Regions from separate parts of the Mus musculus genome. Here all the other regions are reported to be linked to region 1. Evidence: microRNA targets listed by miRTarBase, many of them from high-throughput screens and not tested one by one. Region 1 holds a microRNA gene; each other region holds the end of a gene's coding sequence.
Evidence for each region. The annotated mature microRNA mmu-miR-298-5p reads GGCAGAGGAGGGCUGUUCUUCCC and lies in region 1 at 3,990-4,012, shown strand. An mRNA with a match to its seed (bases 2 to 7 or 8) in the 3' UTR can be bound and repressed. Matches are read on the target gene's strand: a 7mer-m8 pairs with bases 2 to 8, a 7mer-A1 pairs with bases 2 to 7 and ends in A, and an 8mer does both.

Region 2: the mRNA of Slc25a42 is a reported target of mmu-miR-298-5p. Seed matches in the 3' UTR shown: 7mer-m8 at 4,391-4,397.
Region 3: miRTarBase lists Mfsd4a as a target of mmu-miR-298-5p. Seed matches in the 3' UTR shown: 7mer-m8 at 5,149-5,155.
Region 4: the mRNA of Acot2 is a reported target of mmu-miR-298-5p. Seed matches in the 3' UTR shown: 7mer-m8 at 5,950-5,956.

Annotation. Positions count from the first base shown.
Region 1 is chr2:174,263,547-174,271,564 of GRCm38, reverse strand. It overlaps Mir298 (microRNA 298), which reads left to right and starts at 3,980; the gene lies at 3,980-4,061. Mir296 (microRNA 296) reads left to right here and starts at 4,440; the gene lies at 4,440-4,518.
Region 2 is chr8:70,181,494-70,189,511 of GRCm38, reverse strand. It overlaps Slc25a42 (solute carrier family 25, member 42), which reads left to right. Exons shown (of 8, transcript NM_001007570.2): 5 at 1-101; 6 at 563-679; 7 at 1,061-1,212; 8 at 2,736-5,172. The coding sequence ends at 3,043. It overlaps Tmem161a (transmembrane protein 161A), which reads right to left. Exons shown (of 12, transcript NM_145597.4): 11 at 7,986-8,018; 12 at 5,831-7,629. The coding sequence ends at 7,373. Among named protein-coding and RNA genes, the nearest start is that of Tmem161a, 13 kb to the right of the region's middle.
Region 3 is chr1:132,033,051-132,041,068 of GRCm38, forward strand. It overlaps Mfsd4a (major facilitator superfamily domain containing 4A), which reads right to left. Exons shown (of 10, transcript NM_001114662.1): 9 at 7,490-7,610; 10 at 3,733-5,923. The coding sequence ends at 5,868. Among named protein-coding and RNA genes, the nearest start is that of Elk4, 29 kb to the left of the region's middle.
Region 4 is chr12:83,991,263-83,999,280 of GRCm38, reverse strand. It overlaps Acot2 (acyl-CoA thioesterase 2), which reads right to left. Exons shown (of 3, transcript NM_134188.3): 3 at 5,404-6,779. The coding sequence ends at 6,201. Among named protein-coding and RNA genes, the nearest start is that of Acot2, 7.4 kb to the right of the region's middle.

The sequences.
Region 1 (8,018 bases):
TAAGAAAGCCTGACTGGAAAGGGGTTTGACTGGCCTGAGCTGTCAGTCAACAAGCAAGTGTGCTGGGGGCCAGGCATGTGGAGCCAAGGAAGGCAGCAGTAGCCCGACAACTGCGAGCATTGGCTCCTGTGTGGCTTTAAATGTCACAGGCCAAATGGTTGCTCAGTTGGCAGCAGGGTGGAGGGAGGGGGCTTGGAGGATGCATTCGCTATGACTAGATATGGTCAGAATTAGGGACTGAACAATGCCCGGTCTGAGAAGAGGAGCCATGAGAACAACGAATAACCCGGAGACAGGGACAGATGAGGAGTAGGAGCTGGGGCCAAGTGCAGGCAGGGCTGAGGAAGCTTCAAGGACAGTCTAGAGCAGGAAGACCCAGGTAAACCGACTCTCACAGGAACTGGATAGGGAGAAGGCCTGTGGGCCAGGACCTATTCTGGTATCAAAGAGAAATGAGTGTCAAGGTGTTCCTAGGGCTTCTTGCATTTTTCCTTAGGGCTCTAGGCAAGAAGCTGAATAGGTCCAAAGTAACACAGACCAAGACCTAGACCTCAGAAAGAACGAGCAAATTTGAACACCCACCATTGTAAGATCAGAACTAGAAAACACCCTCTGGTCCTAGTTCTGTCTAGATAAATGATACTTTAGCCATGCATTTCCCCCCATTCTTTCTGTCTGAATAATAATAGCTTATTCATTGATGTTTGGATATTCGATTTTACTACAATAATCAGATACTTAATTTATAACATAAAGGAGCCTCTGGTCCTCTGAATCTGCCATCCACGTGTCCGCAGATGGCTGTGGGCAAGGGGCGGCCGCCCCCTGTTGTTCAGCTTTGGTGCCTGCTACCAGCCAACCTTGTCACTCAACTGAAGAGGGAGCTGGCTTTTGTAGGCATTTGCCCTTTGCCTTTTCTGAAGTAGTGCAGCTGTTCTTGTCCCAGGAACACGGGCCGTCAAAGCTGAGTTGTTGGGCACGTGATCTTTGACTTTGCTATGACATTGGTCTAGGAGGCTGAGACTTGTTCATGAACATAAGCTGGGTCTGCAAAAGAGAAGACCAGGGGATAAACAATGAACTTCCATTGGGGCTTGGGATAGGCTTGATAATCCAGCACAGTTGCCTGGTTCCCTCCTTGTGGCCCCTTAGTAACCTGTGGCTTGTACCACAGAGTTAGGCAATTGCCATGGCAACAAAACATCTAAGCTGTCTGTCCCTGGGCCTCCCTTCACCCCAACTGAGTAGGGCCTAGCCTGGCATAGAGAGGATAGAAGTCACCAAGAAGGTCCTGGTATCTGCAGCTTGCCTCTCTCAGCATATGAGCAGACAGGGAAGGAGGCTCCTGTGTTCATCTCTACCCTATGTCTCCTGGGTTCCCTCCATTTCCTTCTCCCCGGCTCAGTCTTGCTTCTTGGGAAAAGGTATTTTTCTTGGAAACAGTGAGACTTGGTTGATCCCTATCTCCCAAGGCCTAAGTCCTGTGGGCTTCAGGATGGCACTGTGTCACTATGTCGCTGTGTGAGTTGCTTATTGCTCCAAGCTCAGCCTTAGTAATTCAGAAGGCCTCATTCTTATTGACCTGTTTGTAGAGTCTGCAGCGCAGAGGCCTAGGCCTTGGGGGACTACGTGTTCATTTAATTCACTTCAACTTCATGGCAACTAGAGAGAAGCCTAGCTGCAGCCGAGCTCCCAACTTGCCGAGGGCCACCTCGCTGAGGAGTAGGAGTCAAGCCCGCTTCTGACTGAGGGGGTAGCTGGTGTCCAGAGCCTATTTTCCAACCCTGGCGGGCACTGAAAAGCCTTTTGAAGGGGGTCCAAGATGATACTTAGGCTGAGCTGAGTTTAGGCCATCAGAGACCTCGGTGCAGCAGAGCTGTGAGGGAGATAGCCGCTGGGGCTGAGGGCATAGGTTTGGGATGAGCTGGCTGGGAGCTATAGGAAGGCACATAGGAGCACACTTAACAAGCACTGAGGGCCACATGTGAGGTGTCTACTTGGAGGAGTGGCTCGTGGCTCCTAGCTGCCCTTGCAGGGGCTCTGGTACACTCAGGAGTCAAGTGGTTCTTCATGTGAGCAGAAGCTGAGGGGTGACTGGGGCTGATGGAGGTCTGAGCTACCCTCGAATGAGGATTTGGGGCAATGTTCACCGAAACGGTCAAGTCAGAGAGGCTTTCTCTGGGGCCTCTGACAGTGTAAGCAAGAGGCACCCTCCCTCGTACTTGTGGGATCTTCAGCTCTTTTGCAACTCAGCCTGTAGCTAGGGATGGGTCTTTGTAGTCTGCTGGACAGATAAGACAGACATCCACCCCAAGTGAAGATACAGAGCATCCTCTCTCCTTGCAGCTGAGAGCTGGACTGAGTGCTACACAGTTTTGAAGGAACAACTCTAGAGTGTCCTTGAAGATGATGGGGCCCGCTTACAGTAGCTTCTCTCGCAGCACCTCTAAAGTCACCAGCTCACCTTCTTGGCAGCCTGGAGAGCTACGTGTACCTCCTGGCATTTCTCTGTTTTCTGAGTGATGGGAAAGGGGCTTATATGGCCAACACTTGGAGCCACATCTCTAGCCGCCAAGTCAGATGTATTGGGAACAACTGCACAGAGGGGAGAGGACTCCGCAAAGGGCTCACACTAAAACTGTGCTCTTCCTCTGGGGGGAGGACTTCAGAGGGAGTACAAAGTACCTCAGCCCCTCACAGCTTGGTGGTGATGCACCCCTTTTCTGAGAGCCACTTAGCGCAGGATTCCTGTGACCCTTCTGTGCTGAGCAGCTCTTGGGCCTGACACCATCCCCAGCTGTCCCAGCCTTGTTACCTATGGGTGCCTGGGTTGGTTGTCCATGTTGATGGTTGGGATCAAGGGTGGGTGGGTGTCCATCAGATGTGTCTTTCTGTGATGGGCCTCACTGTTCTTCTGTTTGCTTCTGCCTCCCACTGTTGCTCTACTGCACCCGTGGGAGCATGATGGCTCTGCTCCGTCTCTCTTCTCTGCTCAACCAAAGAGTTTCAGAAAAGAGAAAGGAAGCCTTTTCTGAAGTCTCTAGACTTGATTTCTTGTCCTCAGTGCTTGCCCTGGCTGAGGGCCCCGTACAAGTGAACTCTGGGAAGATGATTTGTCTAGGGTCATGGACAAAGGCCTTAGAAGATGACTTCCAAGCCTATTTCGTTAACGACCTGCATTCATTAGAAAAGGACCTGTGTTTTCAAAAACATGGCTCTTGTGTCTCACATGGTCAGACAGTAGCCAAAAGATTGCCCATAAATATGTCTTCTGATGGCTGTTTGGCTACTAGGACAGAACCATTAAGTTGAAGAGCTTAAAACTATGACCTTAGCGGCTGTGTGTCTGTTTTGTTTATGTCTTAACATTCCCTACCCCATCTCTCTGTTCTAAGCACCTCTGAGCTCTCAGCACAGTCCTGCCTTTGAAGCCTTGTGTGATGGGGAGCCTCAAGGATTGGAGCCTGCACTTCTTCAGCTGCTTCTGCTGTGAGCACAACATTCAGTCCTGAGGAAAAGGTTTGCTAAGTAGGAGAACTTGGGGGTTCTTCCTCCTCAGGTATGGATTGATTTTTCACCTCACAGAGACCCAGTCAGCACCCATGGGGTGGGGCATTTGAGTTGGGAGGTGGGTCTTGCTGGAGCAGAGGCCCAGCAAGGTGGATCCTTCTTGGAGCGTGGGAATCTACAGGGCTGCTTAGAAATGGTTTGATTGGTTCATAATGGCACCTTGATAGAACAAGAGGGTTTACTGTACAGGATACTTGCCACACCATGGCCCTCTTTGTGCTACTACATGCAAGTGAGTGAGTCCATTGGATGGAGTGGTCATAGACAGATCTGGCCATGAGATGAGTGTCTCTGGACCCCCACTAACTAGCTCCTGCCCAATTGACTGCTTCCTGAGCACCACAGCTATTTGAGGTAGGCTGGGACGTTCCTGCCGTGCTTGAAAGAGACACCAAGAGGCATAAGAGGCCCAGGCCTTTGGCAGAGGAGGGCTGTTCTTCCCTTGAGTTTTATGACTGGGAGGAACTAGCCTTCTCTCAGCTTAGGAGTGGGCCAACAGCTTCCTTCCGATCTCCAGGAGAATGTTGCTGGTTGACACACGGAACTCATCCTCTAAGTTCCCCCACCCATCAAGGTAGCTGGTGGAGTCAGAGATAGATGTTTCTAAAAGCCATGGAGAACTTTGAGGTCTTGTCATAATGCCCTGAGCCTACTACTAAGACTGCCACCTTCCCATTGTCGATGCAGTGGCTTCTGAGCGCACGTAGCTGGGAAGCGGGTGAGCGGGCCAAGATCCAGGTTAGTGGGCATTCGAGACTACAGAAAGAGACCCTCCTAGGGTCTTGGGGTTGGGGAGACAGAGGCAGGGCCCCTAAGAGGGGATCTCCATCTGTGTGCACACAGAACAGCCTATGTGGAAGGTGACAAGAGGGCCTTTCTGGAGGGCCCCCCCTCAATCCTGTTGTGCTCGCTTCAGAGGGTTGGGTGGAGGCTCTCCTGAAGGTGTCCGCAGAGCGTCGCATGGTAAGTAGTCCCTTGGGGCTCTAGAGAATGCTTGCTGTCTTTGGCTTGATCCCAGTGGCAGCCTCTGCTAGACTAGTCCTGCCCCCCAGTTAGTGCTCATGGGGTACCAGAGACCTGACCCCACCCTGTCTGCTCTAGGCTAATAGTGCCCTGCTTCCCTGGGCTTGTACCACCTTGTGTAGTATCTCCCTACTCTTCTGTATCCTTGGCTGGGAAACTTGCTTCCTAGCACCAGACCTTCCTTGATGTGGTTGTTTGCTTTCCTTTCACTTATCTTTTCTTTCCTACAGGAGTGGGATGGACATCAGTCAGATCCACACCGGTCTTCATGGCAGCCCCCCTTTTTTATTTATTTATTTATTTATTTTTGAGACAAGATCTCACTGAATTATCCATACTGGCCTTAAAACTTGGAATCCTTATGCCTTAGACTCCAGCATTTCTGGCATAAACTGCTGTGTCCAGTCTAGAAGGCATTTTGGTGAACCACCCCTGTAAGACTGAGCTGGGGGGGGAGGGTGTCAGGCACCCAGTTTTGAGTTACTCACACCCAGCCTCTCCCAAGTGTGACACAGTATCTGCCTAATAAATTCACGAAGAAAGATTGTTTGGTGTTGTTCTCATCTGTGCTCTGCGCTCTACCCAGCTCTGCCTGGTGTGCCCATCACTCATCCCACTTCACCAGCTTGCTTCTAGCACACACCTGGCTTGATCTTGCTTCTTAGTGTCTCTTCCCATTAATTAGATTTAACTCAACTGCAAGAGGGCTGGAGCACCTTTCATTTAGAGTACAGTAAACTCTGAATAGAGGGAGGGCGGGAGGGAGGGAGGGAGGGATGGGGGGTAGGAGGGGGAACAGATGAGTGTGTGGATAGATGCGCGGGTAGGTGGGTGGATGGATGGATAGAGAGACATTGAAGAAGATTCAAACCAATAGTGCAGGTTAAGCACTAAACAGGGAGTGAAGGCTGTGAAGCCCAAATGGGAGGCTGTGTATCAGCCGTCTCGTGAGCAGAAGCTAGAGTAAAACCCTCAGATATGAATTCTATAAACTTCAGTTCTCTTCCTTTGGGAAGCCCCAACAAGCTACTCACTCACCAGCCATAGGCCGCTGTCCTCAGGCCTGCTGTTTCTGCTTTTCCAACACTCCTCTGCACTGAGCCTCCTTCTTAGTGTTACCTGCCACTCATCTTCCCACCCTCTTCCTTGTCTGTAGCCATTGTCTTGACAAAGAGGTAAGACTCTCCTGGCTGTGTTACTAGTGGGAGAGAATGGTTGGCATCAAGAACTGCAAAAATCACCACATGTGTCAGGAGAGACTCTGGGAGAAAACATAATTGGATAAGGGGCAGCTGCTCTCTGAGCAAGGATCCCCTGGGGTCCTTAGCTCTAGTCATGTGTACCCTTGGCCTGGCCACTGGTCTCATGAGGCTGGACTGAGATTCTGGGGGCCTCTTGAGCACGAAAGGAAGTGAATTCCCATGGCTTGTATTCACTAGATTCCAGAAGCCACTACCCCCATCCTGTCACAGCAGAAGCTTTTTAGACCTTGTCCCAGATCATACTGGGGACAAATGACTGACTCTACTGGGAGATCATGGTGTCTGTTAGCTGCACTGATTTTTTTACCTAACTTAATTACAAATTAATTCAAAGGAAACAAAATACATATAGCATGTGGGTTGTCACCTGTCTTCAACTCTGTCTAACTATCCTGCTGCCTGGGACAGTTAAGTATGAGAACCTGTGGCCTAGCAAAGGTTCCAGTGGTATAAGGAAGTCTCCCTTCATTCACAGACAGACAGACAAAGTAGGTAGGACTCACCAGGCATGCACACGCATGGCCATGTCTCTCCCTGTTCTACCTAGACTTTGGTGCAAAGACCATTTACTAACTAAGGGATCCAACTTCTGAGGAAGGAAATGGGTGGTTCTTAGTACTACTGGATGAACCTGGAGCATGGATGTGCTGTTGTAGAGCTCAGAGTGACCTAAGTTTGATGGTAAGTGCTACCAAGAGTCAAAACTGAGCAGTTGAACCAATTGTTGTCCAGGATTATAACCCAGCATTTAAATGTCTGAAACTCGCTGAGAGGTTCTGCTCCCTGCCTTCCATCCGTAGAACCCATGCAAGAAGAGAGCCGACTCCACAAAGTTGTGCTTTGACCTCCACACACAAAAGAATAATAGTTTAAACAAACAAACAAAAAAATGTTTTAAAAATCCATGAGCCGTTAAGGGGGCAAATGGGTAAATAGAATGTGAGAAAACACAGAGGAATTGCGGTTACTGCCATTCACTCCAGCGAGCAACCTCCTGTGGAAGAAAAGCCAGAGTCTCAATGAACAGTGCAGACTGGCATTCCTGGGAACCTCTTGTGTACAGCGAGTACCCTGTGTCAACCCAACATGAAAAGACACTGCTAGAGCAAACGTTGTCAACATTGAAGAGCATCCTACAAAGGACTCAAAACAAGCTACAGAAAGCAGGGAATTTGGAGAGGATCAAGTTTTCTCGGGGTATGAATGGGACAGGGCGGGGTGTTGTGACGTGATCCAGTGATCAGAGAAAGGCTGTCTTCTGAGCACCTAGCAAAACATGAGCAGAACTGGCAAGGGCGTGGTAGCTCAAGGCCATTATTCCAATGTGTCCGTAGAATCCATTATAATACACATCTCCATATATGTAAACTTATAGCCCAACTCTCCAGAGCTGTATAGTCAGGCCAGCCAAATAGGTGTCGCTCCTTCCAAGTGAGATGGGCACCATCATGAACAGTAAAGGGGCCTCATGAGGCCTGTTGCCTGGTTCCCCAGGAGCGAGCATCCCCATGAGCCTTAGAAAGAGCCAATGCAGAGGTGGAAACCTCCGCTGAGCCTAGGAACATTCAGGATGAAGCAGGGTTTGCAGCCACACGGTAATATGTGCACGCATGGCGAACTTGGCTATACACGCAACAGCATCTTCATGTGAGCACAACAATGACAGAACAGCTGATGTTCCCTCACTAGGCCATTGTGTTTTGGGTAAGAAGAGAGAGTCTAGTACCTCGATGTGGAGCCATGGGGAGGAAGGGCCCTGATGAGGTGTTGAGACGAATCAATGTGCAAGAGCCCTGATGGGCAGTAGGCAAGTCTGAAGGCTCTGATGAGTCTGGGCACTGGGCGTGGCAATGCTGATAGACTGGGATGTTTCTGGGAAAGGCTGTGGTTGCCTCTAACAGGAGAACCTATATGTTCAGAAGGTCAGCCAGGGGCCATCCAGCAGAGCTCACCCCATCTGAGGGCTATGAGCCTGCCCATTGGCAATGTTTCCCACAAGCAGAGGAAAGCCTAGATCACTTGGCAGACGGATCTCAGAGGAGGCCTTGTTTGCCCAAAATACCTCCCTATACTCCCCCGAAATTCTTCACTTTCTCGAAAGGCAGAATGTTCATGTAATTTGAGGTGATTCTGGGTTGATGCCACCCTCTGAGAGAACAAATG
Region 2 (8,018 bases), not on the chromosome of region 1:
TCAGCCACCATGGTGCGAGTGATTCCTTATGCAGCCATCCAGTTCAGCGCACACGAAGAATACAAGCGCATCCTGGGCCACTACTATGGCTTTCGTGGAGAGTGAGGCCTGCTAGTTCCCTGCCCTCCTGGTCCTGCCTCTCCCCACAGGGCCCCATCCATCCCACACACCTGCTTTGGGTTCCTGATACAGTGCCCTCTTCACCCAGGCTCTGGCCCTCACTCACCGTGCCTCCAGGAGGGACCACTCCCTACCCCTTCACCCCACCCTCTGTTCCTTCCCTCAGTCACTGTGCTGCCTCCTCAACTCTCATTCACTTACTTTTCTGCTGAGATCTGATTCCCCAGAGTGTAGGGCACCATGTAGCCCCAGCCTCAAGGAAGATATCTCACTATTGCAGACGGGGAGGGAGACGAGGTTACATTTGTTATTGTCTTAAGAGACCCCATAAGTTCAGCCACTTGGAACCCTCTTGGGTCTTGTGTTGCTCCATGTACCCCAGGCTGAGGTGTAGGCATCCTCTGCACCTACCTAAGTCTCAACTTATTCTGCCTGTCCACAGAGCCCTGCCCCCATGGCCACGCCTCCTGGCTGGCGCCTTGGCAGGAACCACTGCGGCTTCCCTCACGTACCCTTTGGACCTGGTTAGAGCAAGGATGGCTGTGACGCCTAAGGAAATGTGAGTCTACCACAGGGTCCATGCTGGTGCTGCTGTATCTAGGGTGCTTGCTGGGGGTTCGTCCTGGGTGTGAGATTCTGCAGGGTTCCAGAAAGACAAGATACTTAAGGGTAGCCAGGCCATAGTGGTGTACGAATTTAATTCCAGCATTCAGGATGCAGAGGCAGTTGGATCTCTAAGAGTCTGAGGCCAGCCTGGGATACTTAACGATTCAGGGGTAGGGCACCTGCTTGGCACCTGCACAAGGCACTGGGGCCAGCCAAGTGACTGCAGTGTGGGAGGCCAGGCAGGTGGTGCTATCTCCATGGAGTCCCTCACTTTGTCCTGGACAGGAGGAGTGATGGGGTGCAGGCACCAAGCCCTATCACATGGTCTTCGTAGGTACAGCAACATCTTTCATGTCTTCATCCGAATCTCGAGAGAGGAAGGACTGAAGACCCTCTATTTCGGGTTCACCCCCACTGTGCTGGGTGTCATTCCCTATGCGGGACTCAGCTTCTTCACGTACGAGTCACTGAAGAGCCTGCACCGAGGTAAGGGGAGATGGAGAGAAGAGATGGGGCCTCGGGGAGCTGTCCCTGTGAACCCTATCATCCAGAGCCACACAGGAGGTCAGGCAGGGATCCAGAGCCCAATTCAAAAGACACCCTCTGTCCAGTGGGACCCAGGAGCTTGGGCTGCAACCTTTCATGTGTCCATTTTCATTCAGTTACTTAGCGGGGGTCGCACTGTGGAACACAAACTGACCTCAAGTTTGCCTTGTAGCTGAGCAAGACCTTAAACTGTGCCTCACTCTCCTCCCCACAGCATTGGGGTCACAAGCCTGCTTCTCACACGCATGAGGTGCTAGGGATGAAACCCAGGGCCTCTTGTATTTGAGGGAAGCACCCTGCAGACAGGCAGCAGCCCCAGCCCCCCAGTGTTTCATTAAACATTAACGATCTAGAACAGTTGAAGCCTCTCACTGGGACTGTGGGTAGCACTCTGGAGATGGCTTCAGAATCCAGGAGTGGTGGGTGCACCTGTGATCTGAGCGTTCAGGGAGAATGAGGCAGGAGGATTGCTATAGGCTCAAGGCCAGTCTGTGCTACCTAACAAGACCGTGTATCAAACCTTCAATGTGTGTGGACAGTGTCTTGGACCCTCAAGGCCCCCTAGTCCACAGCGCCTGCATCCCCTCTGTGCAGTGGCACAGTGATGTCTCAAGTCAGGTGTAGAGTCGCTCTTCCTGCAGCTCACCCTCGGCAGTAAGGCAGGCCGCCTGGATGCGGAGATGCTGTCCACAGTAGTCACTGAGTTCAGCTGGCAACAGTGACAAGAAGAAAGTCTGCACACAGCACAAGTGCAGGATGTTGAGACCCTTTCAGTCTATGGGTGTGCTGGCTCATGCCTGCTGTCCCACTCAGGAGGCCAGGGCAGGAGGTGGAGGCCAGCCTGGGCTAGCCAGTGACACTCCTGTCACAGAACACCAACTGACAGTAGAACCTGTCATCAGAGGTTCCTTGAGCCTGTGCTGCACCTGCACCAGGTGGTTGTTGATCCCTGGCCGCCATGATCTGAGAATCCACAGCAGCATGCTTGGCTGTTCTTCTCCTGTGGTATGGGCTGTGCTAGGGCTCTAGATGGAGCAGTAGATGCCCCGACGTCCCTAGCAGGACACTAAGATGGAGACTACACTCACACAGCTGTCCCTGCACATCGCTACAGTCCTCATTAGCTTACGAAAGTCAGGCAGAGGCACGTCCTCCATGTAGGAGGAAACTGTCTGTGTAGCCCTGTACTCTAAGGGTCCAGGCATCCATGGAGAATCTTGGGATTCATCCCCACAGATGATGGGGCACTGAAAACTGCAGAATGGGGACCTGTACCCAATAGGTGAGGGGAAACTACTACATAGATAGCCTGGGCCACCGTGTAAGTCTCACTGCTGCAAAGTGTGTGTTGTGTTAGGCTAGGATGTGGGTCCCATTCCCAGCATCAAAACTAAGAAAGGGTGGCCAGGAAGCGGGGCCTTAGTTTCTTCAAGTGTGGCACTCATGTGCCCTCTGCCCTGCAGAGTACAGTGGCCGCCCGCAGCCCTACCCCTTTGAGCGCATGGTCTTCGGGGCCTGTGCTGGCCTTATCGGGCAATCGGCCTCCTACCCTCTGGACGTGGTGCGGCGGCGCATGCAGACAGCAGGTGTCACGGGCCACCAGCACGGCTCCATCCTGAGCACACTACGCTCCATTGTACGTGAGGAGGGCGCGGTGCGGGGCCTCTACAAGGGCCTGAGCATGAACTGGCTGAAGGGCCCAATTGCCGTGGGGATCAGCTTCACCACTTTCGACCTCATGCAGATCCTGCTGCGCCGGCTGCAGAGCTAGGCTAACACAACAGTGGATGGTGAGCTGTTCGAGCAGGGGCATGCAGCTGTGTGCTCGCAGCCCTGTGGTACCTTGAGGGTGGGCAGGAGGACGGGACCTGACTTGGGGCTGTAGGGCCCATAGCGAAGTGCTGGTCCTCAGGGTGTGACATTGTGATGATGGATCTTGGCTGTCCCCTCCCTTCAGTTCCTTGCTATTGGCTGGTGAGTCTCCTGAGGTGTTACCCAAAGGCCCCTAATGGGTCAATTGCACTTCCTGGCCCTGTGTCCTCTGACCTGCTGCTGATCTAGTGCCCATTGGCACCCGGGGCTCAGAGCCCATCCCTTCTTGCTATGACCGTGCCTGGCCTGCAGATGTGATAGCAATTCCTTTTAAGCCACACACTGGAGGGTCACAGTTTGCTCAGTGGTGGCTATACCTGTGTTCCTCAATCCTCCACCATGCCTGCCTATCCTCTCCCAGGTGACAAATGGCTGCTCTTGCCCACATAGCTTTCTCCCCAGAGCACTGTGCCCATCCTATTTCCGAGGGCTGCACCTGACCATTGCCAACTACCTGGCTTGTACCTTTCCAGGAGGCCCTATGGCCACCAGACAGGGGTGTCAAGTTCAGACCCCACTGGAAATGCCCATGTGGGTATCACTGATCTGGGGTGTCTTCCAAAGTACACCAATCAGGCCGAATGCAGGCCCAAAGCTTCTTATATGCACAGCATCCATGGAGGTAGGGCTCAAGCTCTTGAAACTGCCTTCTGTGGCTGTCATCTAGCCAGGCCACATGAAGCCCAAAGATGGGTGGGTGGCTTTTCCTGTGTGAATGAGTACAGATGTATCCATGACCTGGGGAGCAGGGAAAGGCTGGGGTATCCAGGGACCACCAGCCAGCTGACACAAGGAGAACCCCCCCACACACTGGGTTCCCTAGGTGTCACAGGAAACTCTTGCCTTTCCTGGTGTCTGGGGTTCTTGATTTAGGGTCTTTGAGACAGTCCTAGCCAGAAGCCCTGGCTGTCCTGCTTCTGAGTGTTATCTGGGCTAGCCTTCAACTTAGAGCAGCCCTCCTGCCTTTACTCTCTTTTCTTTTCTTTTTTTTTCTTTCTCTCCCTTCCTTCCTCTCTCTCTCTCTCTCTCTCTCTCTCTCTCTCTCTCTCTCTCTCTCTCTCTCTCTCTCTCTCTCTGTCTCTCTCTCTCTCTCTGTCTCTGTCTCTCTCTCTGTCTCTGTCTCTCTCTCTCTGTCTCTCTCTCTCTCTCTCATTTTATTTTCCCGAGACAGGGTTTCTGTATAGCCCTGGCTGTCCTGGAACTCACTCTGTAGACCAGGCTGGCCTCAAACTCAGAAATCTACCTGCCTCTGCCTCCCAAGTGCTGGGATTAAAGGCGTGCGCCACCACTGCCCCACCTACCTTTAGTTTCTAGTTTTCAACTTATCCTGCCCCAGGTCTGCACATAAAACCCCTACCCTTCCTATGCAATGTGGCTCTGGCTCAGAGGTGATCTGGGTGTTGATTCCCACAGCTGGATGGCAGCCATCTCACATGCAGGACCTGAGCAGGGTGGCTCGAGCCCTGGGCATTTGCAATTCTTGCTGCAGTCTTTGTTCATTCTATATTTCTTACCTTGTGCCTGTGACGCTTGGCCATCTCTCAGCCTCCGCGGATAGTGATGGGCCATCCCCACCATGTCCCCAGACACCCCCCCCCCCCGGCAGCCTCTGGTGGCTGAGAGGGACTGTCCTCTCGTGAGTGTACTGCCACTCCCTTCCCCACCTGGGATGGAGAGTCTAGGCATCCCTTACCAGGAGGCCGGAGGTGACTGAGGCTCCTGGGTCACCTCAGCAGGTTGCACCATGTAGATGGTTGGCTTGAGCCCTGCATCAGGCAACCAGCAGGGCAGGAGAAGTGAGGGTGTCCTGGGTCCCTGATCTTCTTGCTTCCCCATATCCCCCCAGTAGCTCTGTGGCTGCCCTCCCCCATGGTCACTGTCCAGTAGCTCTGTGGCTGCCCTCCTCCGTGGTCACTGTCCAGTCTGGAGTTCTATTTTGATGCCATAAAGACACTTTGTTTATATATAATGTTTATATATTTTGAAGATTTGTGCCAACAGAGTATATTTAATAAAATTTTAAATATCTCCTGCTTCTTACTTCTTCAACTCTGGCTCCACCTCCCACTCTATGAACGGGGTCAAGCTACTTAGCACTTTTGTTTTTAATTTTTCTAGATAAGGTTTCTCGGTGTAGCCCTGGCTGTCCTGGAACTTGCTCTGTAGACCAGGCTAGCCTCTCTGCTCTGCCTCCCGGGTGCTGGGGTTAGAGGTGTACAGCACCACTGCATGGCCACTATTTGCTACTTTAAAAAGGCATTTTGTGTATGGGTGCTTTGCATAACTGTGCAGGCCTAGTGCCGGAGGAGGCCAGCAGATCCTTAGTCTAGACTTACAGATGATCACATGGGGTGCTCGCACAACTGGATCATCAGCAGGAGCAGCCGGTGCTCTTCACTCTGAGCCATCTCTCCAGCCCCCCCCCCCATCCTTGTGAAAGAGAGCTGAGGATTGCAGGTGTGTTGTCCAAGTGCTCTGTGCAACTTTCTGTTCATAGATGTAAATGTGACACAGGCTACTGGGGATGAAATTGATGGCCAAAGATGGAACATTAGACTGGGGCAGTAGAGTCCCAGCCTAGAATCCCCCAGTGAGGGGCTGGGGGCGTGGCTCAAGGGTGGAGCACTTACTATACAAAAGACCCTGGGGTTTTTTTGCCAGTACAAAAAAGATAAGGATCCAGGAATACAGTAACCATGTAGCTAAATCTGCCAACAACATGGCTCGGATTTATTTAATATCTGAGAAATATAATCCATGCTGGCTTCTAGTTCTTGCATAGCACTGGCTGGCCCAACTACCTCTGGAGTCATCAGCTATACTCCATCATGCTCAGCAAATGGGCATCGGCCAGAAGCCTAAGGACCTTGCTCTGAAACACAGCTCAGGCCCAGTCAGCCCTGAGCCATGTAGCTGAAGGAGGTGGGGCCCTGTACGTCGTGTGCCCCTACACTCTGAAATCCACAGCAGAGCATGGGCATCCCTGATTCCCATGAGACTTCCACAAGGTCCTGCAGCCCTTGTCAGGGTCAGTTTGGGAGGCAGGGACTCCAGATAGCCCTTCAAGGACATCCTGTTGATTCATAACACACACGTCAGCCATATTTGCTGCAGTCATGAAGACCTGAGTTCAAGTCCCCAGAGCCCACATAAAGTGGGACAGCAGCACTAGTCTATAATCCTAGCACTCCTACAAGCAAGGTGGGAAGCAGAAACCAGAGACTCCCTGGAGCCTGTTGGACAGCTGACCTGAGGGACTCAGGTAAACAAGAGACCCTGTCTCATAGTAGAAGGCTAGGATCTACATGCTAAGTTGTCCTCTGATCCCTGCTCTCACACATGGACCTATTGTATCATACACAGCACCTGTGTTCACAGCACCTGTGTTCACAGCACATAGGCAGTCACACTCCTAAGTCCTCTTGGACAGAGACCCAGAGGCTCAAGGCTCTGACTGAGCACTGGCTCTTGAACATGACTGGGCCAGACCACACTGGCACCATGGTAAGGCAGCATTGCAGAAGCCCTCCTTTTTTATTCTCAATACACATTTTACATATGTAGGAAGGTCACACATATCTCATAAATACACACGTAAACACACTAAGTCATAGCAAAAAAATAACTTTGGAGTTGGAGGTGACCCTTAGTCACCAAGACCTCAAAACACAGCAGTCATCCTCACAGCTTTGGAGGATGGTGACAACCTCTTCCCTCTCTTCCCTTTCAAGCTTCCCCCGGCCCCCTTTTTCTTCTTGTTTTACATAGTCTTGTTACTAGTCTAGGCTAACCCTCTTACCTCAGCTTCCCCAAGTGTGCTGGGGAGACAGGCATGGAGACTACTGTCTCTCCCTCCTGGGGATACTGACAGATGCCGGGGCTATATGGATGCTGGGCCAGAGTCCCACCCCTAGCTCTCCTAGCCACCTCTGATCTTGAGGTTTCCACTCTCTCCCAGGCCCCTCTCACTATCCAGGTCTCCCCTGCTCATCCCCCAGTCTCTGGGATATTTCTGTAAAACGTGCCCCCTCCACACACACACACTTGGGGATCATGGCCCAGGGGAGATTGCTTCAAGGGGTTTATGATCTAGGCACTGAAGTGAGAGAGATGGTAGGGAGTCCCCACACCAACCCTTATGTCATCTAGGGGCACCAAGGCACACACACAGGGAACAGTCCCAATCCTGGTGGGCAGGAATCAGACACTAGAGCCTAGTGCCTTCCTGCTAAGAGGCTGCCAGGTGCTGGTGGAAATAGAGGCCGAAGAGGCTGGAGAGCAGCTGGCAGGCAGCTGTCCACCAGATGATGTAAGCCAGCATGCCTCTGAGGAAGAGGGGCGTGAGCAGGCCACCCAGGATCCCTGCAACCTGGGCTGCAGTCTGCTGGGCCTCATCTCCTGCAGGGTCTACAGGGATCAAAGCCTCTGAGGGCTGGGATGGGGCCAGTGGGGGAGGAGTAGAGCTCAGGGCCCAAGAGTAGCCTCCTGCAGGAGTGAAGAAGAGAATTATAGGTGGAGACATAATGGTGGGAATCTAGAGGCTCTCACACCCCGCCCACACCTAGGTTACACCCCGCAGGCCTTAGGGGGCCTCCATCCTCCCCTGTCTGTTGGCCCTGCCTCCAACCTCCCTGCCTATGGGTCTTAACTGTAGCTTTTCCCAAACCCTGCCCTCACTTTTATCTGCTAGCCCCACCCTTACCCGGCCATGTCCCCACCTCTACTTGCCAACTTTGCCCTCGAACAGAAAACCCCCCACCTCCACTTTTATCTGAAGATCCTACCCTTATCAAATCTGTCCCCACCCCCTGGCCCCATGCTCTTTCCCACCAGCCCCTCACCCAGGGTCTTGAGCAGCAGTGTGCAGTGCAGAG
Region 3 (8,018 bases), not on the chromosome of region 1:
CGTGTGTATGTGTGTGTGTGTGTTTTATGCAAATGTCATACAGTTAGTTGTAATCAGATGTGTTCACCGAGGCTTTTGGGATGAACACATTGCTCATTTCCACTTCAGCCCCCTTTTATGTTTTCAGAAAGGGTCTCGTGTAGTTTTGGCTGCTCTGGACCTTGATAGCCTTGTGGTCTTCCTGCCTCAGCTTCCTGAGTGCTCGTTACAGATGCATACCACAATGCTTGGCCTCCCTAGCCCCCTTTCTTTGGAGAGCTTGGGAGAAGAAAAGAAAGGACCAGTTAATTTAGCAGTGAAATGAAGTGTTTTTAGAAGTGGCTTAGAACATGATGGAGGATGTGGGCCTAATGGGTGGCCTGATCACATCAGAGAGCGCAGGCTCATTCCAGATGAAAGTACCAAGAGCATACCAGATGGCTGGTGGCAGGACACAGGCCCTGGGAGTGTCTCTTTGGCTGGTGCTTGACCACACCGTTGAGCCAATGAAGGGCTTTCCTGGGAATCTGCTCAAATGCATTACCTAAGAACACTAATCTTAGAGGAGCTGAGAAATATGGTCTTGCTTTTTGCAGTCACAGAGTGCATTTTTGAATACCCAAAGCTCCAGGTCCTTCGGTGGAAAAGCCTGCCACCATTTCGGCCTTTCCAACTGTTGGCACTAGTTTGGCGAAGCGCACTGACTGCAGGTACCATTCCATCTGTGTTTCATAGAGGCGTCTAATGGCCACCATCCTCACACTGGGCTCTTTGGGCTTTATTAGGTAGGAGACAATGTTGAGTGTCCCAGGATCACACTCTGATCATCACAGTATACCTGCCACTGAAGGAATCATGAAGTGACTTCATCGGAGTCACTCAGAAGTACAGTGATGTGTCATAGAACTGTCACAGAAGTAAAGACTTCAGCAGCTGTGGAGGTTCCTAGCAGATGCAGCCATGGTACTGGATTGTGAGTGTTGTTCCCATATGTTTTGAACACACTGGTCATTTACCTAAGCCCCTCTCCCATCTAGCCCAGTGTTTGTTAGTCCTGTTAATCTCTCACAAGCACTGATGTCTTCTTAAGATGCTCTTCCCATACCTTCCAGGAAGCCACTTTGACTGTTGAATGGGTTCCTACCTCTGGCTTCTAATTTTTTACTACATCAGTTCTTTTTCTAAACCCCTAGGTTTTGAAGAACCCCCAGGCTCGATCTCTCAGTCCCTGCAACCACTAACTAGGAGATTTCATTCCTTGTCTCTGAACACTGTAAGCTATATAACTTCTCTTTAAACTCTGGCTACCAAGTCTAGCAGCTGGCTTGATATCCAGGATAGCATCATATACTGATGTGCAGAACTGTTTTTTTTAAAGATATGGCCTCAGGCTTGCAAGATGGCTCAGTTAAGAGCACTGACTGCTCTTCCAGAGGTCCTGAGTTCAATTCCCAGCAACCACATGGTGGCTCACAACCGTCTGTAATGAGATCTGTTGCCCTCTTCTGGTGTGTCTGAAGAGAGCTACAGTGTACCCATAGGTTGGGAACAGCTGCTCTTCCCAAAGATGGGAGGGCGAAACAGAAGAATCCACCAGAAGTGAGCTTGGCTGTGCAGCAGCGAAGAACTCTTCTCAGACAAGATGGAAAGGCAGGGGCCAACACCTCAAGTTGTCCCCTGACCTCTACAGGCATGGAATAACATGTATGAGTTACATAAACCTGAGTTTACTTCACATGTCCTTTCCCATGATACATCTGATCTTCATCATATTCGTTCAATCATGCATAGGCACGGTGGTAAGTAGGGTTTTTCCCTAAGACTTCATTTGTAGGGCATAGTTTGCCTTATTGTCTATGTTCCCCAAACCAGTTTAGGCTGGATGAGCCCACATTTCCAGATCCCAAGGTGTTTCAGGATGTGTTTGGCCACAGAAGGGAAGTTACTAAGGATGGCTAGGGCGCTCCAGGTTAGAGTTACCAGTTGCTTTATTTAAGAAGGGGTGTGCAGCCTGATGTTGGCAGGGTCTCAGCTTGTTAAGTACTGTATGTATAGCCAAGTAGAGTCTTCCCTGTGCTTGCCTACCTCAAAATGCCTCACACCTGGGCATAGGTCAGATGCCTTCAGCTTGAGACTGGCACCCTTCTCTTATACTCAGTCCATCAGCAAATTCTGACAGACCTTCCAACTGAATTCGCCCTCACCATTTCCACTGCTTCCAGCATGGTCCAAGTCACTGTCACCTCTCCAGCCCTGCAGTGTATCTGAGCCTACCTCAGCCCCACTGTCTTCAAACAGCCAGAGTAACGGTTTTAAATGTGTGAACCGTGCCATGTGACAGTCTGTTGGTAAGCTCACATCCCCCAGAAAAATCCACATTCATGCCACCCTGTTTCTTGCCACTGTCTGCCTGCTTTGCAGTTTGTCCAGACCAGTCTGCCAGCTGCTCCTCAGATTCTATGGAACATTCCAGTTCAAGGCCCTTCCCCTTGCTGTAGCCTCTACCTGGCAGGAATATTCTCAGGTACCCACCCGCCTGGCTTTCTCCTGTGTAGCACATGTCCTCTTGTTAAGATAGCCCGAACATCTGCCGTTCCCACGCCCACCCCTGCTGCTTCTTACAGTACTCTATCATCCTATAACATGTTATATATTTACTTGCTGTTTCTATGGCTTTGACCTTGAAGTCTCTGTGAGGCAGGGACTTCTCATTCATTGCTGAAACTGTACCTGAGCCTCTGCTTTGAACATGGTGGCTGTTTGATCTTTTTTTTTTTAATGTGTAAACGCAATCTCTGTAAGAAACTTGTGAGCTGAGGCTATCGCTCATGGGTAGAGTGCTTGCCTCCCTGGTGTACTCTAAAGTGGATCCCCAGGTGCACACAGGCTGGCCTTGGTGCTGCATGCTTGTCATCCTAGCACCTGGGGTGTGGAAATAGGAAAATCGGGAGTCCAAGATCATCTGAACTACATGGCATCTAGTCTACCTTGGGCAATGTAAAACCCATTTCAAAAAGACAAAACGAATGAATAACAACAAAACAAATGAACCCTTTGTGTCACTATACCTTCCTTTAAATGTGTGCAAGGTATGCTGGTGGCTTAGATCCCCAAGTCTGCAGAAGGAATCTGGGAACAGGGAGACATCACAACACTCTTGTTTTGTTTTGTTTTGTTTTGTTTTCGAGACAGAGTTTCTCTGTATAGCCCTGGCTGTCCTGGAACTCACTTTGTAGACCAGGCTGGTCTCGAACTCAGAAATCCGCCTGCCTCTGCCTCCCGAGTGCTGGGATTAAAGGCGTGCGCCACCACTGCCCGGCTTTTTTCTTTTTTTTTTTTTCTTTTTATTTTTTTTATTTATTTTTTTTTGTTTTGTTTTGTTTTTTTACAACACTCTTGATAGCTAGAAGTGTGGCTTAGTGGTGAGTCTTGCCTAGAATGCTTGAAACCCCAGGTACCACCCCTAGCCCTGCCCCAAGTTCCAAAGGTGTACATATATACATACATACATATACACATACATAACATACATACATACATACATACATACATACATACATACATAGTTGTCATGTGTGTATCTTATATTGGGTGTGTGTGTGTGTGTGTGTGTTTGTGTGTGTGTGTGTGCACAAGAGTGTGTGCATGTGCGTCACGTGAACCTCTAAGAGAGACCTGTCTTTGGGGAGCGTTAGACCATTTGATCTTCAGTATAAAGGGTCGACTGCCCTTCAAGATGGATAACACACTTACTAGGTTTAAAATATTTTATTTTAGGAAAGTATGAGATTCTTTTGAGTTTTCTATATTAACACATCAATCATCACCAATGTAGGTATAAGCAGTGATTCTTCTTTCTAGATCTGTATAAAAAGGATGTTTTCTTGAAAAAAAAACTACAAGAAAAATACAACCACTTTCTCTTTGCCCAGGTCAGTCACCATAGTTAGATTGCCCAGCTAGATTTTAATATGGCTAGTATGAGGTACTTTTCAATGAATTTATAAATATAGTTAAAAGGATTTGCTTAGGCCATCGGCGTTTCAAAGTTAAATTTGACTTAAAGTTTGTACCAAATGGAGATGACGTCTAAGCTGCGTATGAGGTGTTACAAAGAATAGAAGTAAAACCATGAACATTTGGAAGGCAGGTCCCATGTAGGGCATGCAGCAGATGCTCCACACACTCTCAGTTCTCTCAGAATTCCTGTGAGGTAGGGTGCTTTTAGAAATGCCATCATACTGGTAAAAACAAGCAAGGCTGGAGGTGGGGGATGGGGGGCTTCTGGAGTCACAGCTAGAAGGCTGATAACCTGGCCCACCTCTGCTCTGCTGGTGTCTAGTGTGTGAACTACAGCCCTTGGGACCATGAGTCCATGCTCACATGAACACATGTATATGCACAGAGAATGTACAGATTAAACCAATGACTGTAACAGGACATTTGTTCCTCCTAGAGACTTCCCAGAGACAAATCATGTCATGTCGCTGATGCCAGAAGCCTTGCACCCAGCCCTGCCCGGGCTGGTGAGCCGCCTTCTTGTATTCTCTGGATTACTAACCTACCTTCTGTATAGAAGAGGGCACTCCTGACAGACACTGGTTTCTGCATACTGACACTGCTCTCTGTATACTGCATGGCTTGAATTATATAGTAGTCCTAGATTTATATGGGAGGGAGGGAGGGCCTTGACACAGTATAAAATTTTCATCTATAAAAGGTATAAAATACCAAATGAGCTATTTTTTTAAAAAAAATTCTTCTGTACCTTGAGGATCTCAGTAAAGAACAACAGACTGTCCATTTCATTCTCCCTGCACTTTCTGAACCAACTAGCATTGCTCGTTAGCAGAAAGACGCTGGAAACCCATCTGTTCCCAGGGGCACGGCTTTCACCATTTCTGGGCCATGGCTGACCTTGGACTACCAGCAGGCTGTCACAGAGATCTGAGAGGAGGAGCCCAGCAGTATTCTGTCACAGAAATGTCACCACCTTGGTGCCATGGACACTCCTGAGCAGCATCTGAGCTGCTTCTTGGGCTCAGGAGCATCTGCCATGTAAAATTAGAAAGTGAGGTTTGGAGAATTACCTTTGTTTAGTTACAATTTTTTTTTTTTTTTTAAAGCTAGGTAGTGGCAGTACACACCTTTAATCCCAGCACTTGAGAGGCAGAGGCAGGAGGATCTTTGTGAGTTTGAGGCTAGCCTGGTCTATAGAGTGAATTCCAGGATAGCCTGGTCTACAGAATGTGTTCTGGGACAGCTGGGGCTACCCAGAGAAATACCATCTCAATAATAATAAAAATAATAATTTAAGTCTTTGTCATGCCTACTAGCTCTCAAAATGAAAATTTAACAGTCAACTTTCTAAAGCTTGTCTGAGTTAGCCCAATGCAACACTGACTAGGGTCTCAAAGCAAGATTCAACATTTCCTTTGTTGTCTTAGGACACAAATAAACTGATTTCTGCAGGACGGATGTGAGGGACTTGGGACCATGGGTAAGTGAAGAACACATAAATCTTTTTTAACATGCCAGAGGGGCTTGATTGATTTAAAATATATCTACACCTAGCAGTGGTTAATGACTTAGGATTTTAGCATGTTTTTCAAACTTCAACTAAACGTGATCTCAAACCCAGAGTTTAGCCCATGCGTGGGGTGGTGTGTGGAGAGGTGTGTGCGGGCTGTCTTTCATCCTCCTGTCTGGTTGTCAGGACAACAAGTCCGGACCAGAGAGGAAGATAACTAAAGTGTCAGGCAGGTGCTCGATTTGTCCAGGGAAGACTCAGGGAAGGAAGACACAAGCAAGAGCAGCCTCCTGTGCAACCCTGGCTTCCTGTGTCAGTCTGGTCACCCTGTGGCTCAGGAGCTGAGCTCTTCAGCTCTTCACCTCTGGTAGCACTCAGGGTTCTCCACACCAAGGGCTTTGTCTTGGGTAAGAACTACAAAAGAAAACATAAACAACACTGGTAGCAAATGTGGGCGGCCCCAGCTTCCTCTGCAGCATTTAGCTCTTGAGAGCAAGCAAGCTGTATGCTTTTCTGCTAGTCTAGCTCTAGGTGCACTAGGGCACACGTACAGCCACAGTCTCATAGGTGCACACATGTATGTGTGTGCGCTCAAGAGCACACGCCACACACACACACACACACACACAATACACACACGGCACTGTGGGAAGTCAGATCAAGATCAAGTTCTGGTGAAGTGCTAATAGAGACAGTGAGACTGATATCTAGGGCTGGGGGAAAAAAACTGTTTGTCTCCCATAAGAAAGGAACATTTGATATTCACAATCATCATCATCATCACCACCACCATCATCATCATCTCTTCCTCTTCCCCCTCTTCCTCTTCATTTTCTTCAAGGGCAGTCTTTATTGGGATATTTATTATGTGTGTGGTGGGGGAGTGTGCATGCTACAGTCAGGATTCATGTAGAAGTCAGAGGACAGCTTACAGGGCTCAGTTCTCTCCTTCCACCATGTGAGTCTCAGGGACTGCACTCAGTCTTGGTGGTATCAGTATCACCCATGCATGCTGAGCCATCTTGACTGTATATGTTAAGCGATGCTCTCTATAAAGGAACTGGCTAGTCAGAAGCTACCACCTGCCATCCCAGAGGCTGTTCTGAGAGGCGGTATGACTTCTCTCTGGCTGTAGCCAATTTTTGTTTTTGTCATGTTGTGTTTTTGTTGAGATGGAGTCTCACTGTGTACCCTGTCTGACCTAGAACTCAAGTCAGTAGACCAGGCTTGCCTCAAACTCACAGAGATCCACCCCGCCTTTGGGGTCAAAGGCGCGTGCCACCATGTCCGACTATGCACTTAGTATTTAAAGTGAACATGGCTACTTAGAGAGGGCTGTGGGCAATTCTTCCATCTTTTTGTATTCTGTTTTCAAAGAGAGAGCACTGGCTCAGCACTAGCTCTCATTTGCTGAGAACAGCCTGATGCATGGCTGTGGTCACTAGGCAAGAGACTCACACAGTTACAAAAATAGCCTTGGTACGATCCCGACCTGGGGTCTCCAGGATGGAGACTATCCTTAGGAGTATCTCTATCCTGAAGGAACCCTTCCCTGCTATTTTGCCACCACCCCCCCTCCCAAAAAATGTCCTTTTTGAAGAAGCAATTTGGACAAGAGTCAAAACCCTAAACTGTAAGAAAGGGCCTAGTTAGGCCACTGGGCCAGGTTCCAGCCAGGGAGGCAGGCTCTCCCTTCTCACGGGTTCAGACTTTGGCACTAGGATCCACTGTAAAGGGGTTCACTGTCTGTGCCCCTCTGCTAATGGAGAAGCCGTGAGTCAGCCTGTTCACCCTCTGCTGCCTTCAGACTCCAGTGGACAATCACAGGGAAATCAGGAAGAGGCGAAAGGGAAGCCGTAGGAAAACAAACACTTCCTTGCATTTCATTTGGAGCAGAGCAGCACTTCCGATCGTTAGGATCCCGCTCTTCCCCCGCCCTCCTGTTTCCCCCGTCTGTGTAGAAACAAAATTTCTTCTTACCTGATGAGAGTTCAGGGTGTATCCTGTGGAAAAACAGGAGCAAGATGTAGAAGATAAAAGCCAGGCAGCCAAAGATCACACCACAGACCAGGAAACTGTAACTGCCCTGGGCCTGAAAGATCTGCCAGAGAGGAACACAGCAGCCATTAAAATCCCACTTGGCAGTGCATGGGAAAAATGGCTGCCTTGGGCCCTTTTCGGCTTCTCTGTCAAGTTGGGGCCATCCTACCAGATGCAGGAATGTGGGGAAGGTCTCCCCAAAGTTACAAATCTGGTGAAGACATAAATCCTGCAGTCAACCAGGGTTGAACCTGTCTATACATCATATACTCTTTCAGCCCTGTGTTCTAAAACTTCCTGGAAGACACCATGTGATCATTGACATTTCAAACATGTAAGATGTTTCTATACCTGTAAGCCTAAGTGGAACTCTGGGGAAGGTGTGTGTGTGTGTGCGCGTGTGCGTGTGTGTGTGTGTGTGTGTGTGTGTGTGTGTGTGTGTGTGTGTGTGAGAGAGAGAGAGAGAGAG
Region 4 (8,018 bases), not on the chromosome of region 1:
TGTGCTCCCCACTCCCCACCCCCAGCAACCATTCTGCTGGAAACATTCAGAAACTAGGGGGCAGTGAGTCTGTGGGGGAACGGGAGTGTCCGTTCTCTTCATCTGAGTGAAGCGTGACCTGGGCAGTGGGACAGCCACCTCGAACTGATGTCAAGGCCTCCTTTAATCATTCCTGGTGCCTTGACTGCAGCTGTTCTCACATCCCCTAGAATCGGGGTCCTTGTGGCCTCCATGGTCATCAGACAGAAAGCAAGTTCCTAACTCCCCTTCCAGGAGACCTCCCCCCCAGAAGACTGTCCCAACTCAGTCTAATCTGTCTGTCCTTCTGCCTTCATGTGAATGGTTCATGCAGTCAGGCTGTGCGTGGCACTAGATGTCCCAGACAGTCTCGGGGCCTCTTCTCGGTCCCAGCCCTGCAGTTGCTGATAGCCTACACCTGCTTCATCCTCTCCCCTCTGGCACTCTGGGATAACCTATGGAGAGGGACTAAACAAATGTGCCCTTCAGCTTCCTGTGGGAGTGGAGAGCTTAAGAATGTGGTGTGGGGGAGTCTCATGGATGCTCACAGTCTGTCCTGTTTTCTTTCTGTGAAGCCAAGAAACCAGCCAGCAAACACGACTCATCCCATATCTCCCATCTGCCAGCTCTAGCTCCAGTTTTCTCCTCAGGTCGAGTGTTCTCTTGCAATATCAGGGTTTTTGTTTTTTGTTGTTTTGTTTTGTTTTATACCACCCCAAACCATCTGCCTTCAAGTCTGATAGAGAAAGATTTGGATCTGTGCTTGCCTTGTCACAGCTCGTTCCTCTCCTTACATTTAAATGAGGCTCCTTTGGCAATCACGCGGTACAGAATTCGGCTTGAACCTGCTGCCAGGAGAACACATCTTTCCAGTTTTGTCAGTCTCTGTCGAAAGATCTGATGCCCTGCTGAGCACTAGCAGAGAAAGAATTGCAATCTGAAGGCTCCACCTGGGTGACGACGCCTCTTGTTCTTTCCCACCAAATAGACAAAGCCGATTTTCAGACCATCTTGTCAAAGTATTGCTGCATCAAAATGTCCTGATGAGCACCAAATGCAAACGAAGGAAGGAAAGGGAGAGCGTCAAATTTCCCTGACTTTAGCACAGTCCTGGCAGGTGAGCCTCCTGGCTTAGACATCACACAGAATGGCCGGGTGCGCCTACCTGAGTGTTTTAGAAATACTTTATTTTCTCCCAGGCCTTAAAACTTACTAGCGGGGCTGGTGAGATAGCTCAGTGGGTAAGAGCACCCGACTGCTCTTCTGAAGGTCCAGAGTTCAAAACCCAGCAACCACATGGTGGCTCACAACCATCTGTAACGAGATCTGATGCCCTCTTCTGGTGTGTCTGAAGACAGCTACAGTGTACTTACATGTAATAAATAAATCTTTTAAAAAAAAAAAACAAAACTTACTAGCTTTTTTTTTTTTCAAATCAGGGTGAAAGTTACCATGATCTTTAAAATATCACATCCCTAGACAGGTTGTTCTAGAGGGGGGCAGTCTCCTCCTCTCAGGGCATCCATTTGAGGGTGCTGCCTTCTCAGGTAGGGGAAACCTCCCACCGATTTTCAGAACTCAGACTGTTTCTTTTTTTATGAGATATTTTATTGTGTGTGCATGCATGTGTGTGTTCGTGTATCTGTGTGTCTGTGTGTGCAGGCACACATGTGCAAACACACACATAAGTGCAGGAGCCAACCTCCAGTTATGTCTGATATGGGTTCTATCCAAGTTCAGCTGTCCCCCTCTGCTGTGTTGCACTGGAGATTTCTAACGTCCCTCAGCCAAGAGATCACAAAGCATGAAGTATGCACAGGACAAAACAGACAGGAAGCATCAAGCATACACAGGGCCAAGGAGACATAACCACCCACCAAGCTTTTCTCAGTTCCTCGTTCTGTTCCTGCCCCTCCACATCTATGAAGTTACACTGATCATTTTTAATTCATTCATTGACTAAATCAGAAATTAATGTAGATCTACATTCTTTTCTTTTCTTTAAAACATTTTTTTTTAATTTTTGAGACAGGCTCTCTCTACATAACCCTAGCTGTCCTGGAGCTCACTTTGTAGAGCAGGCTGGCCTCGAACTGACAGAGACCCACTTGCCTCTGCCTGGAGAGTTGGAATTAAAGGCCTGCACCACCATGCCCAGTGGATTTAGATTCTTTTTGATACATAATGACTATGCATATTTATGAGGAATATGTAATGTGTGTAATGTTCAAGTGTGTAATTGTTATACTCGTTACTGCTAATATTTATCATTTCTCTGATAATATTCAAAATCCTTCCAGCGTGTTCTTCCAGCTGGAGCCTCTGCTGTCATGCACCATCTCCCCATCCCGGCTTCTCTCCAGGTCTTCTCACAAGACTTTCCCAGTCAAGAGATTCCTGACCAAGAAACCAAAGCAAAATCACACTATTCCTCAATGGACTCAGGTGGAAACTGGTAACCAAATCAGGTACAACTCTGAGAGGAGATGCCAGAGGAGAAGTAAGCAGGGTCTGTAAGGATTCACACAATGGCAAGACTGAGGGTTTGTACTGAACCACGTTGATCGATCCGTCCTACCAGACGGAGCTCAACATTCTTAACCCGGGGACTTAGTTATGTTTAAATTGGGGGTGTGGTTTGAACAGCAATAAAATGTAGAACCTTTCTCACACACACACACACACACACAAAAAAGGAAAGAAAAAGAAAATATTCAAATCCTTCCTGTTTTGAAATACACTATGGAGTTTGGGGGTTGTATTAGTCAGTGTTCTGTTATTGTAAAAAGGCAGCATGACCACAGCAATTCTTATAAAAGAGCACGTTTAATTGGCGCATACTTATAGTTCCAGAGGCGTAGTCCATTATCATCATGGCAGGAGGCACGACCTCACACAGGCAGGGTGCTGGAGAAATAGCTGAGAGTTCTACACTTGGATCTGTAAGCAGCAGAAGAAGAGAGGAGACACTGGGCCTGGCTTGGGCTTTTGGAACTTCAAAGCTCACCCCCAGTGACATTATTCCTTTAATAAGACCACCTACTTCAAGAAGGCCACACCTCCTAATCCTTCTCAAGTAGTGCCACTCTGATGACTAAGCATTCAAATTTATGAGCCTATGGGGCCACTCTTATTCAAACCACCATAAGGGTATAATGGTAGATTCTATGCTTTGCTCGTACTGGGTTTGATCTCCAGCACCAGGTCTATAGAGATGACTCAGTGATTAAATACAGTGGCTGCTCTCCCAGAGGATCAGAGTTCAATTCCCAGCAACCACATTGCAGTTTATAATCATCTGTAAGTCAAGTTCCAGGGGAATCCAATGCCCTTTCTGCCCTTCACAGGTACCAGACATGCAGGTGGTGCACAGACATATGTGCAGGCAAAACACATAAAATAACAAAAATATTATCTCCAGCAACAACAACAAAAATCGATCTGTGCGATAGATACTGTGCTACAGAACCCAAGAATCTAGACTTCCACTGTACCCATAACCAGCCAGTCCTACTGTCCTCCCCTGCTAACCTTCCCAGCTTCTGCCACCTAATGTTTGAGTTTTGTCACTGTGACAGATGCTATGACCAAAAAGCACTTAGGGAGGAAAGGGTTTATTTGGCTAATGTGGAGAGCCGTGCCACGAGGTGCGTGCCGCCAGTAATCGCTGTGGAGAGCCGTGCCGAGAGCAATCACCATTATAAGATGGCGCTGGCCTCCGCTGTGCCTAACTAGTAAACAAGCCTTGTACGCAGGTGCGAGAGTGAACTCACTCCTAGTCACTCCTATTCTCGAGGTGTAATAGTGGGGTGATGGGCGAGCAACGAATCAGGAGCTGTCACGCCATATCAGGTGCTGAAATGTCACGCTGCAGGCTATAAAAACGGCGCCATTTTCCCGGTTTGGGGTCTTCCTGAAGAAGCAAGCAATAAAGCTTTTGCTGTGGAAGATTCCGGTTTGTTGCGTCTTTCTTGCCCGTCGAGTGGGACGCAAAAGGCTAACACTTCCAGGACACAGTCCAGCACTGAGCAGGCACTCAGGGCAGGACCCCGAAGCAGAAAGCCTGATGACTTTCAGGCTTATTAGAGGAATCTGCCTTGATCTCTGGCTCATGCTTACTGTGCTCTTAACTGAGCCACCTCTGCCCACCCCCCAGACCTGGGTCTTAGTTTCTGAAGGCTCTCATGCCATGCAACAGTTTGATTTTTGTTATTGTTGGTTTTTGTTTTGTTTTGTTTTTGTTTTTGTTTTTGATTTGGTTTGGTTTGGTTTGGTTTGGTTTGGTTTGGTTTGGTTTGGTTTGGTTTTTCGAGACAGGGTTTCTCTGTGTAGCCCTGGCTGTCCTGAAACTCACTTTGTAGACCAGGCTGGCCTCGAACTCAGAAATCCACCTGCCTCTGCCTCCCGAGTGCTGGGATTAAAGGTGTGCACCACCACGCCTGGCAACAGTTTGAATTTTTAAAAATGATTCATCTGTATACTGGGGGGCAGGCGTGTGCCATGGTGCCCGTGTGAAGGTCAGAGGACGAGTTGCTGGAATCAGTCCTCTCCTTCCACCAGGTGGGGTCCAGGGATTGAACTCATTTGTCAGGCTTGGTAGCCAGTCCCATTTCCCACTGAATCAGCTCATGCAACCCTTTTATTAAACATGGTTTAATTAAACATGGTTCAGAGGCTGCAGAGAAGGTTCAGCACTTACGAGCTCTCACAGAGGACCAGAGTTTGGTTCCTAGCACCCATATTAGGTAGCTCATAACCACCTGTAACTCCAACTCCAGGGGAACTGAAATCATGTGGCCTCTGTGGGCACCTGCACAGACACACACGGACACACATGTGATGAAAAATAATAACTCTGACTCGGGTTCTATAGCCGTCTCTTTACTGCCTGTCTTGTGTTATAGGGGATCAAGCATGAGCCTAGCAATGGGTAAAGAAATCCCTCCTCCTGTGCTGACCACTCTCTGACTGGCAGGTGGCTGTGGCCTAAATGTGCGGGAATGAGAGCGTTTGCTCACACACATCCTCTTCCCTGCCTCGAAGACAGGTCTGAAGGTTGGCACACATGGGATTCCTGGCTTCTGTTTCCTTCCCCAGCTGCTCTGCTGCCTCCTGGACTAAATGTTCATCCTCCCCTCATGTCACCATGACAGAGCTCAAAACACCAAGAGGTTCTCTTCCCAACATTGGTTTGCTTTGTAAAATTGATGTTCTTGTTGGATGTGTGCATAAAAAAAAAAAAAAAACCCAAACAAACAAAACCCCTTCTCTTCTTCGCTGCTGCTAGACGTGTGTTAAGTATCTGAACAGTCACCCAAAAGCCACTTCTGGAAGGATGACAAGAGTGGGAACACTGGCCCAAGAATTGAAGGAAGGACAACATAGTTTTGTCTATAATGAGCTAGTTTTTATTTTAATAAGAATATTTACACTTAAGGTTCCCCCTTAATTCATGACATAAAAGAATTCTGTTTTTTTTTTTTTTTTTTTTTTGGATAGGCACATTTTAAAATTACACATGTGGTGTGTGTGTGCGCGTGTGTGTGTGTGTGTGTGTGTGTGTGTGTGTGTGTGTGTGCGTGCGCGCGTACGCACACGCGCACAAGCACTTGTGTGTGTCAGAGGACAACTTGTCAGAGTTTGTTCTCTCCTTCTACCATGTAGACCCTGGGGGAAAAAAATCTTAAGTTGTCAGGCTTGGCAGAAAGCACCTTTACCACGGAGCCATCTCACCAGGTCCACAGGCACATTTTTATAAGAAAGTTTTAATTTCTTTGTCGTCTTACGGCACTGGGGAATGAATTCTGGGCACTATGGAAGAAAGACGAATGCATTACCACCAAGCTCTATATATCCTCAGTCCTTCATAGGCACTTATTATATTGAGAAAAAACATAAGCTGGGCGTGGCTTTACTCCCAGCACTTGGGAGGCAGAGGCAGGCCGATCTCTGAATTCAGGCCCAGCCTGGTCTCGGCCAAGGGTACACAGAGAAACCCTGTCTCAAAAAAAAAAAAAAAAAAAAAAAAGAAAAGAAAAAAAGAAAAAGAAAAAAGAAAAAAGAAAGAAACTTTAAAAAATTAGAATATGTTCAAATGAACTAACCTGAACTGACATTGTGATAATATATATGAGGTTTCCCCCAAACCATCAACTAATAGGTTATATTTTAGAGGACAGTCCCTAACTCTTGCTACCCAACTGTTTGTGGAAGAAAGTCTGGAGCTGCTGCCATGCGTCCACCTGGGCCACGGCATGAGCCCTGGGCTCCCCTCCAAAGGTGATGTTGGCACCCACCAGGAGGTGCATGCCAGCGCTGCACAGCGGGAAGTAAGGGGGCTCGATGTAATGCCCTGCTGCTGGGTAGCAGATGATCTGGGGCTTCTCCTTCCCGTGCGCCTGCAGGCGTTTGGAGATCTCATCAGCATAGAACTCGCTCTTCCAGTTGTGGTCGTCCTGACCTACGAGGAACAGGAAGGTCGTGTCAGACCTTTCCACGGGAATGAAGCTCTTCTTGTCTACCAGAGGGCTTTGCAGAGCTTCCACGACATCCAAGAGACCATCTTTGGTCATTTTGACTTGGTTTCTCAGAAGGGACACAGGGGGTATAGTCTCATCCTTGTAGGAGATGGTGTTCCCAACAGCAGCCACGGAGCCATTGATGACCACAGCAGCTGTGATGCCCTTCAGGAAGGAGGCCATAGCAAGGCCAAGTTCACCCCCTTTGGAAATCCCAAGCAGCCCAATTCCAGGTCCTTTTACCTGAGAAAGAAACAAATGAAAAATGGAGATTTAGTCCAGGAACAGTATTGAGCAGTGAGTAGACCTAGCCAGAAAGTCAAATAACCCTGGGCCAACATCAGCATTTTCTTTTCAAAGCCACCATGGAGGAATGGAGCTACATTGGCCACTAAACTGTTGAGGCAATGGACCCAAGAAACTAAGGAAAACACACATTCCTGCTGTCTGATCTCTCACTGGACAGGAGCACCGATGTGGCCTTTCAATTCTGCCACAATCACTGGTATTTTGCCTTCCACTTTCTCCAAAGGAGCCCCCTCCCCCACATCCTCTCCTACCTCCTCAGACTCTTTGGTCCCCACCCCCACCCCACATGCATGCCCCTCCCCTCAGCTCTCCATACTGCAGTGAGAAAACAGAAGCTCCAGCAAGAAAGCCTCCTCCCTCCCCAGGCCCTCTGTTCCTGGAGGCTCAGGCTCTCAGAGGACCACATGATCTCAGCGGCCACCCTCTGGCTGTGTCTGGGATGCTGCCCACTATCTTTCTCCAGGGATGGCCTCCCACACATACTTCCAGCCTCCTTCCCTGTAAACCTCTCTGCTGGTCCTCCTTGGGTCCTCCCTGCTCTGGGCTCTTCTGTTTTCTCACAGCCCTGGGCCCTCAGCTGTGCTAGCTAAGACTTTGTTCCCTGTCCTGGTTCCCTACAAAAGCTGTGGGAAGATGCTTGTTGTATTTTCCTTTCTCCATTCCCTGCTCATGGCCTTCGGGGTGGTTGGACTGGCACTGTCCACAAGAACTGTGCCTGTCCTGAGTCCCAGTGTCCTCTGGGCTATAAGCAAAAGGACTTTTGGCTAACCTTTCACAACAGTCTTTTTTCTTCTCTTGTGGCTTCTAAAACAACACCCTGGAAACTTTCAAACTTTACTCTTCACTGAAGTGCTAGGAATTAAGTGATGTGGTAGTTACAGTGTTTCTTACAGGAAGAAACCGAGGTCCCAAAGTTACAGAACTGGAAGATGCTGAAATGCAGGTTGGTGAGATGGTTCAGTGGGTCAAGCATTTGCTGCCCAGGCCTGATGACCTCAGTTTGATTCTCAGAATAACATTAACGGTGGAGGCAGTGAACTGACTCCACAAAGTTGCCTTCACGCCCCCACACGTTCATGAGCACGGACGTTCTTGTACGTGTACACAAATGCACAATATTAATAGCATTTTGAAAATTGATGAAATCAAACCTCAGACTTCTCTCTAGCTGCA